Mus musculus: one gene and its partner. The protein of the gene in region 2 interacts with the protein of the main gene of each other region in a pairwise test. Links are inferred from orthologs where the notes say so. Each region holds a gene or a part of one and is shown on either strand. Other genes may lie near its edges.

Evidence for each region.
Region 1: the proteins of Daxx (region 2) and Ets1 interact in binary tests that used the Homo sapiens proteins (3 or more experiments, as listed by UniProt). The link is inferred for Mus musculus from reciprocal best matches to the Homo sapiens genes DAXX and ETS1.

What each region holds. Positions count from the first base shown.
Region 1 is NC_000075.6:32,733,632-32,737,278, reverse strand, and holds part of Ets1 (protein C-ets-1), read right to left. Parts: intron 3,340-3,647; coding exon 3,091-3,339; intron 1-3,090. UniProt on the Homo sapiens protein: Transcription factor. Directly controls the expression of cytokine and chemokine genes in a wide variety of different cellular contexts. May control the differentiation, survival and proliferation of lymphoid cells.
Region 2 is NC_000083.6:33,912,384-33,916,130, forward strand, and holds the end of Daxx (death domain-associated protein 6), read left to right. Parts: intron 1-204; coding exon 205-424; intron 425-889; coding exon 890-1,343; intron 1,344-1,422; exon of another isoform or gene 1,423-1,459; coding exon 1,460-1,679; intron 1,680-2,959; coding exon 2,960-3,019; 3' UTR 3,020-3,207; downstream 3,208-3,747. UniProt on the Homo sapiens protein: Transcription corepressor known to repress transcriptional potential of several sumoylated transcription factors. Down-regulates basal and activated transcription.

The sequences.
Region 1 (3,647 bases), on a different chromosome or scaffold from region 2:
GATCATGCACGTTCATTCATCTCCCCAAGCTGGTTATACACAGCCACTGCAGTTGGGCAAGCATTGCTGGAGAAGTCTCCACTGGTAAAAATGGCATTAAAAGGGGGGGGGGGGGCTAACATGGAAGCTTTAAGAGAAAATAAATACACTGAAGAATTACAAGGGACCCCAGGAACATTTGTTACGGCCAATGACCAGCTGCTTCCCAGGCAGCTCGCGGCAGACCGCAGGAGATGGGATGGCCACTCCTACCCAACGTACGCTAGGAGATGGAGAGAGGTAAGAAAAGCCTGTGCAGGAGTGCCCTCAAGTCGCTTCTCGACCGTGCGAAGCTGGCTAAACCCTGAAGAGGAAGAGGGTCTTCTCCAACCACATCAGCGAGCTTCTTTCTGGCTGAGGACTGGTTAAGAAAACAATGCTCAGACAGAAGCAGCTTCCCAAATCAAAGTCGAATACAAGGGGAAGCTATTGTTCTCAAAATTAAAGAAGTAGTCCCAGATAAACAAGTATGTCTGCTGTGAACATTCTGCCCTTCTGCTCTCTCCTGTAGTGATGAAGACAGAAATGCCAGCTCTCACTCCACCCTCTGCTCAAAAGAAGGCAATGTTCACAAAGCAAATCAGAGCCTAAGGAACGAGTGGCCATGACTGTACCAAACTAGTCCCTTTCCATTACTCATTTTTTAAGTCACATTAAATTTCTCAGGAAAGCAGCACCCCCACCCTCACGGAATGCCACGGGCTTCTTAGCAGGGCAGAGAGTTCCCTGGTATCTCATCAAAGGTGTGTTCTCATCCTAGCTATAGATGCTAACTGCCATTCCATTTCACTCTAGCACAAACACACCAAAAGCCTAAGAAGGAAAACCGTGTTTCCACGGAGGATGGCCTGCCCTCTGAGTCACCCATAAGTAGGTATTCCCTATGCTTCAGGCTCTTGGAGTTTTTCTTATCTCTTCAGCCATTTTTGTATGTGGAGGGCCAGGATCTGAAAGGGCTTCATTTAGCTTAAGTGCTAAGGTAGGCGTCACCACTCTCTTGCAGCCTCACCAGATGGTTCTCGGTTCAGACTGTGGTTTAGCGTGGAGGGCAGCTTTAGTCTTAGTTCTATTTCACAACCCTGGAGCTGGAAGCCTTCATTAACGGGTATTTTCCCCAAAACACTGACTTGAATCCAAAAGGATTAGGTTCTGCTTCTCTGTTCGATCCGGGAGGCACGCATCCCTGAGACTAGTACTGACTGTCTTCTCTAAGAAAAGCCTCTGCAAGGTCCTTCCAAAGCTAATTGAGTCCACCGAACAGCACTCTGAACAGGAGACGGGTAGCCTCACAGCCACCCACAGAAAAGACTTACACAAAGACAGGCCTTAGAGCTCAAATAAGTGGGACAGAGAAGTACTTTGTATACTGTAACACAGCATCTGAATACTGCGATTATTAATAGTCAGCTAACAGTAATGTCTTCAGTCTAGACCAATCACAACAGTCAGAATCAATGGCCCTTTGGCCAGCCGTGTCACAGCACATCTACCAGGCAGCAAGCAGGCTTGCACAAGCTGGTCTTCCCCTTAAGTCTGTGGCCTGAGCTTGGAGGAACTGAAGGACAGGAGAGCCACAAAGAAATACCTGACGTCCTTCGGTAAGGATCAGTTGGGGTTTATAATCATTAGATAGGGTTTGAAGGGTAGTGAGGATCCAAGAACCAAGATGAGGAAAGGGAAAGGAGGGCATTTCCACAAATGCAAAACCAGCCACAATTGTAAAGTGGTATGATTACAGATGTACACAGATTTACAACACGGCTGAACCCCAAACCCACAACTCGGTCTCCTTAAATATACAGAGAGACAGCCCCACGAGGGAAAAAAAATGTTGCTAAGGCTTCAACCTGCTTAAGAAGAAGTGCACAGATGCACACACTTGAGGGTATGTATTTAAATAGACATGTACCCAAAAATAAGACAGGCAGAAAAGGGGAAGACAGACCCGGTCCCACCCATTCCCTTTAGTTTAAAACAAAAACAACCTAGGAGCATAAGATGGACATTCTGGGTACTGATTTTGCAGGGACTTTCCCTGTACGAGGCCAGAGAGCTCTCGCAAGGCAGGCTGGGAGCAAAGAGGAGCTGCAGTTAAAGAGCATCCCTAGCACAGGAGGGATGGGTCACATTGAGCAGGTAGCACGGGGAGTCATTCGGAGAGCAAGAATCACTACTCTCCTCTTCCTGTCTTAATACTTTCCCACCAGGAAAGTCATTTCTAGGCTTTTCAGAAACTACTAGGCTTTTCCTGGGTGAAGAAGGCCCTCCTTCTATCAGACTTCACTTTTCTCAGCAACAAGATCATCAGAACAGGCTCCTTCTCAGAGTGCGATGTTCAAGGCCATGGGTTCAACATCAGGTACATCTTACCTCTGGGGCATCAGGTCAGCGAGACCTATTTTCAAACACTGACTTCACTGCCAGCGACTATTTATCACTGCTATAATAGCCTTGTCAACAAGAGTACCTTCTTTTGGAAGCCACTGGCCACCTTTCCCCTGGTCTCCTAGCTAAATACATACTTTCACCAGGCTGTTGATGACCAGTTCCAAATAAACCACTGGTTAACCATCTTGTATCTTCCCAAACCAAAGAAGTCACAAGTGGCTAATTTCCCAGGATGAGCAGCGAGGGTCATCCCGGGTACCAGTCCAGGGTCTACAGTATGACCCAGGTGAACCCTGAAAGGCTGCCAAAGCACAGGCCAAATTTCAAGATTATGATCTCAAGCAAAACTATCTTAAAGAAACTGCAGCCTGCCTTTCAAAGTCCAACTAGAAGTAATATGTAGGCAAACCGTGTACCCTGATAACACATTTGATTATTACTCTGCCATGCTCAGTTCCATCATGGACCCCAAGGTCTCTGTCATCATACTGGATAAAGCTAAAATCTCACGGCAGAAAAGTCTTCTTGTCCATACACTTGAAAAAATGAAAAGCTAAGACTGGTGAATAAAGGAGTGATAAGTGAGCAAAACGGGACCTGGACAATGAAGGAACCGAGGCAATTTTTGTACAGCCAAGGAGTCTGAAAGTAAAATTGACCTACCACGACTGGCTCTCCCCAGGCACATGTTGTCTGGAGTTAACACCTCTTGCTTGATGGCAAAGTAGTCTGTCTGCAAGGTGTCTGTCTGGAGAGGGTCCTGGAGAATGACAGAAGGGTAGTCGTTCTCATACTTGAGGGACAGGAGTTCTTCCGAGCTGATAGGATGCAGCGTCTGATAGGACTCTGTGATGAAGCTGGGCTCTGAGAACTCTGAGGGAGGAACACACTGAGCATGCTCGATACCGTAGCCTAGAAAAGGAGAATGTTTACAGTTGGAGACACTGGGACCTGAGAGAATCCATTCTCACTCCTTATCAAGCCCCCCTCCCCCCATGTGATGTGAGCTGACTCCCTTAATAGAGAAGTAAAGAGTACATCAGAAGGACTTGGGTTCAACCTTGATGCACAACTTGCTACCTGCAGCCCTTGATAAGATACCTTCCCTTTTGCCTTAATTTACTGCTCTGTACAGTAAGTCTGGTTAAGTGTTCCTCAGAGTACTGTGATGTAGAATAAAGGAGGCTGTGTGTATAGGCACAATGGCTACAACATTCCTG
Region 2 (3,747 bases):
ACTCAGATCTTGTCTGCGCCCTGCACTGCCACTAGGCACTCCAGGGTGACTCCTGGAGCAGCGTATGGAAGTGGGGAAAGAATATTGGTGATGTGCTTGCCTTGCAGTCTCGCAGTCATGAGCTCCCAGAGTTGAGTCCTCCTCCTACCAATCAAAAAGCTGTGGGGCACGGGATTCCTTAAGAGAGACTGCTCTTTCCCTCAGGGTCCTAGCGGAATGGCATCCCAGGAGTGCCCTACTACCTCCAAAGCTGAGACTGATGATGACGATGATGACGATGATGATGACGACGACGAAGATAACGAGGAAAGTGAGGAGGAGGAGGAGGAGGAAGAGGAGGAGAAAGAGGCTACTGAAGATGAAGATGAGGATCTAGAACAGTTGCAGGAAGATCAGGGGGGTGATGAAGAAGAGGAAGGAGGAGGTATATGCGTAAACGGAGCTCCTCTGTGGGGAGCATCCTTGTGGTGTTAGTTCTGCTCTGTCGGACATGAGCTCCTTGTTGAGCCTTTCCCTCCCTTCCTCCCTCCCTCCCTCCCTCCCTCCCTCCCTCCCTCCCTCCCTCCCTTCCTTCCTTCCTTCCTTCCTTCCTTCCTTCCTTCCTCCTCCTCCTCTTCCTCCTCCTATGCCCTTTTTTTTTTTTTTAAAGATTTATTGATTATTATATGTAAGTATACTGTAGCTGTCTTCAGACACACCAGAAGAGGGCGTCAGATCTCGTTACGGATGGTTGTGAGCCACCATGTGGTTGCTGGGACTTGAACACTGGACCTTTGGAAGAGCAGTCCGGTGCTCTTACCCACTGAGCCATCTCTCCAGCCCTCTCCTATGTCCTTTGCACAGCCCCTCTATCCCTGTTCCTCATCCACCCCTCCCCTTTCTTTTCCAGATAATGAAGGAAATGAGAGTCCCACATCGCCTTCAGACTTTTTCCATAGAAGGAATTCAGAGCCTGCAGAAGGGCTCAGGACCCCCGAGGGGCAGCAAAAGAGAGGACTGACAGAGACCCCAGCATCCCCGCCAGGGGCATCCCTGGACCCTCCCAGCACTGACGCTGAGAGCAGTGGAGAGCAGCTCCTCGAGCCGCTCCTGGGAGACGAGAGTCCTGTGTCCCAGCTCGCTGAGCTAGAGATGGAAGCTTTGCCTGAGGAAAGGGACATTTCCTCCTCCAGGAAAAAGTCGGAAGATTCCCTCCCCACCATCTTGGAAAATGGGGCAGCTGTGGTTACCTCTACATCTGTCAATGGGCGTGTCTCTTCTCACACTTGGAGAGATGCCAGTCCCCCCAGCAAGAGATTTCGGAAGGAAAAGAAGCAACTGGGCTCTGGACTGTTAGGAAACAGGTAATAGTGGGTGAGGAGGAAGGCAGGCAAGGAGGCAGGACTCTCTGAAGGGAGCCTGATGTCCTAGGTCTCCCTGCAGCCTCAGGCCCTTTCTGTCATTTTTCTTCTGTCCTTAGCTATATAAAAGAACCGATGGCACAGCAGGACAGTGGGCAGAACACAAGTGTCCAGCCTATGCCATCCCCCCCCTTGGCCTCTGTGGCTTCTGTCGCTGATTCCTCCACAAGGGTGGACTCTCCCAGCCATGAACTGGTGACCAGCTCTCTGTGCAGCCCTTCTCCATCCCTGCTTCTCCAGACACCCCAGGCTCAGTCTCTCCGGCAGTGTATTTATAAGGTGAGTGGGCAGTGTCCCCTGGCACTGCATTCTCACCCTTTCCCTTTCTGTGGGTATTGCACCTCCTGCTCCTCTGTTTTCCCCATCTTCCTGCCCGCCCGCAAGTGCGTGCACGTGCATGCATGCTTGTGTAGTGACAGTTTTGGAATTTTGGCGTCTTTATAACAACTCAGAGCTGAGTGGTAGCGACACATGCCTTTGATCCTGGGAGGCAGAGGCAGGAGCATCTCTCTTGAGTCTGAGGCCAGCCTGGTTTACAAAGTGTGTCCCAGGACAGCCAGGGCCACACAGAGAAACTGTCTAAAACCCAAAAACCAACTAACTGACAAACAAAAAACCAGTGAAATAGGTTTTCATTTTAATCCCGGTGTGGAGTGTGGGGCTGCTTCCAACTGACTGTGACTGTGAGCTCTAGAGGTGTGGCTTTACCAGCTACAGATAGTTGCTTTGGTTGTGTGAAGTGATGTTTGGAATTCTGGGAACTTTTCAGGAGAGCATATAAATGGCAGAGCCTCCCCACCTTCCAGGAAGCATGGTTGGTGGTAGTACAGGGGTTGGTTGTGGTTTGTTAGTAGTCTTGCTCAAAGAACAAACAGGAAGAGAGACATTAGAATCAGAGATCCTGTCTCTCCTGTCTATCCTTTCTTTTCTATCTAGTGATGGGGGCGGATAAAGGGGAGGAAAAAGAACACACAAAGTCTCAAAGACTGGCTGTGTGTGTGTGTGTGTGTGTGTGTGTGTGTGTGTGTGTGTTTAGGTTTAACCCCATCAACCAGGAGGCAGAGGCATACAGGTCTCTCTAACTTCAAGGCCACAGTCTAGTCTACCCAGTGACAGTCAAGGTTACATAGTGAGACCATGTAAAACAAAACAAAAAAGACTTATTTTATGTAAATAGGTGTTTTGTTGGCATGCATACCTATGTGCTACATTTGTGTCTGGTGCTCATGGAGGCCAGAAGAGGGCGTCTGATCCTATAGATCTGGAGTCACGGAGAAGGCAGAGAGCCGCCATGTGAGACTGGATACAACACTCGGGTCTTCTGCAAAGCAGCTGCGTGCTTAGTGGCTGAGCCATCTTCCAGCCTTCCATCCTGCTTTGTTTTGTTTCTGAGACAAGGTCTTTCTATGTAGCCCTGACTGTCCCAGAACTCTGTATGTAGTAGATCAGGCTGGCCCCAAACTCGGATATCAGCCCGCCTCTGCCTCTTGAGTGTTCGGACTAAAGGCGTGAGCCGCCATGCCTGGCTCACCCTTCTTTCTCCTCTGACTTGTCTGCAGACCAGTGTGGCCACACAGTGCGACCCGGAGGAGATCATCGTGCTTTCAGACTCTGATTAGCAGGCCCCATGCTCCCCGTGCTCCCTGCATCCAGAAGGTTTTTTGTATGGCTGTTGGAAGATGATGGAGTAAAAGATGGACAGAGCTCCTCCCGTTTTGATGGTGTTTCTTTTGACAAAAAAAAAAAATCAAAATGTTTTAAGTTTTACACAGACACATTAATAAACAATGAATTTCTTTTTATTGTATTCTTTCCTTTACTTTGCCTTTTCTCTTGTGACAGCTGTCACCTGGATCTGCCTTTTCTATCCTGGCTCTCTTTTTAGGGCGTCCTCATCCTTAACCCTTCCTTGAGCCTTCTTCCCCTAGGCACTTTTAAAGATAAGTGCTTCGGAAGCCTTCTTAAGCAGCTTTCCTCTCTCGTTTTGAGCGGTCTGAGTGAAAAGGCCAATCAGGGGCTGACTCAAGGTGATTTGGCCAATCCAGGCCTGGAGGAGGGGGGCGGGGCTTGGGGGGTTCTCATATGCTGGGAAAAGGGCTGTTAGATCCCGCGAGCAAGCTAACGTCCAGAGCTCGGGGTGGAGCCTGGGAAGCGGAAGCCAGCACTGGTCAATGAGACAAGGTAGGCTTGTCGGATTAAAGGGGAACGAAGGTTTCGGCCAAACCAATTCCTGAGTCCTCAGCCGCAGACGGGACCTGGTACCTTTAAGGCGGAATGAAGCGCCGGTTCTTTAAAGGAAAAGTGTCGCTGTCGGTCGACTTTTGCCCAGCGGCACAGGAGGGGTGCT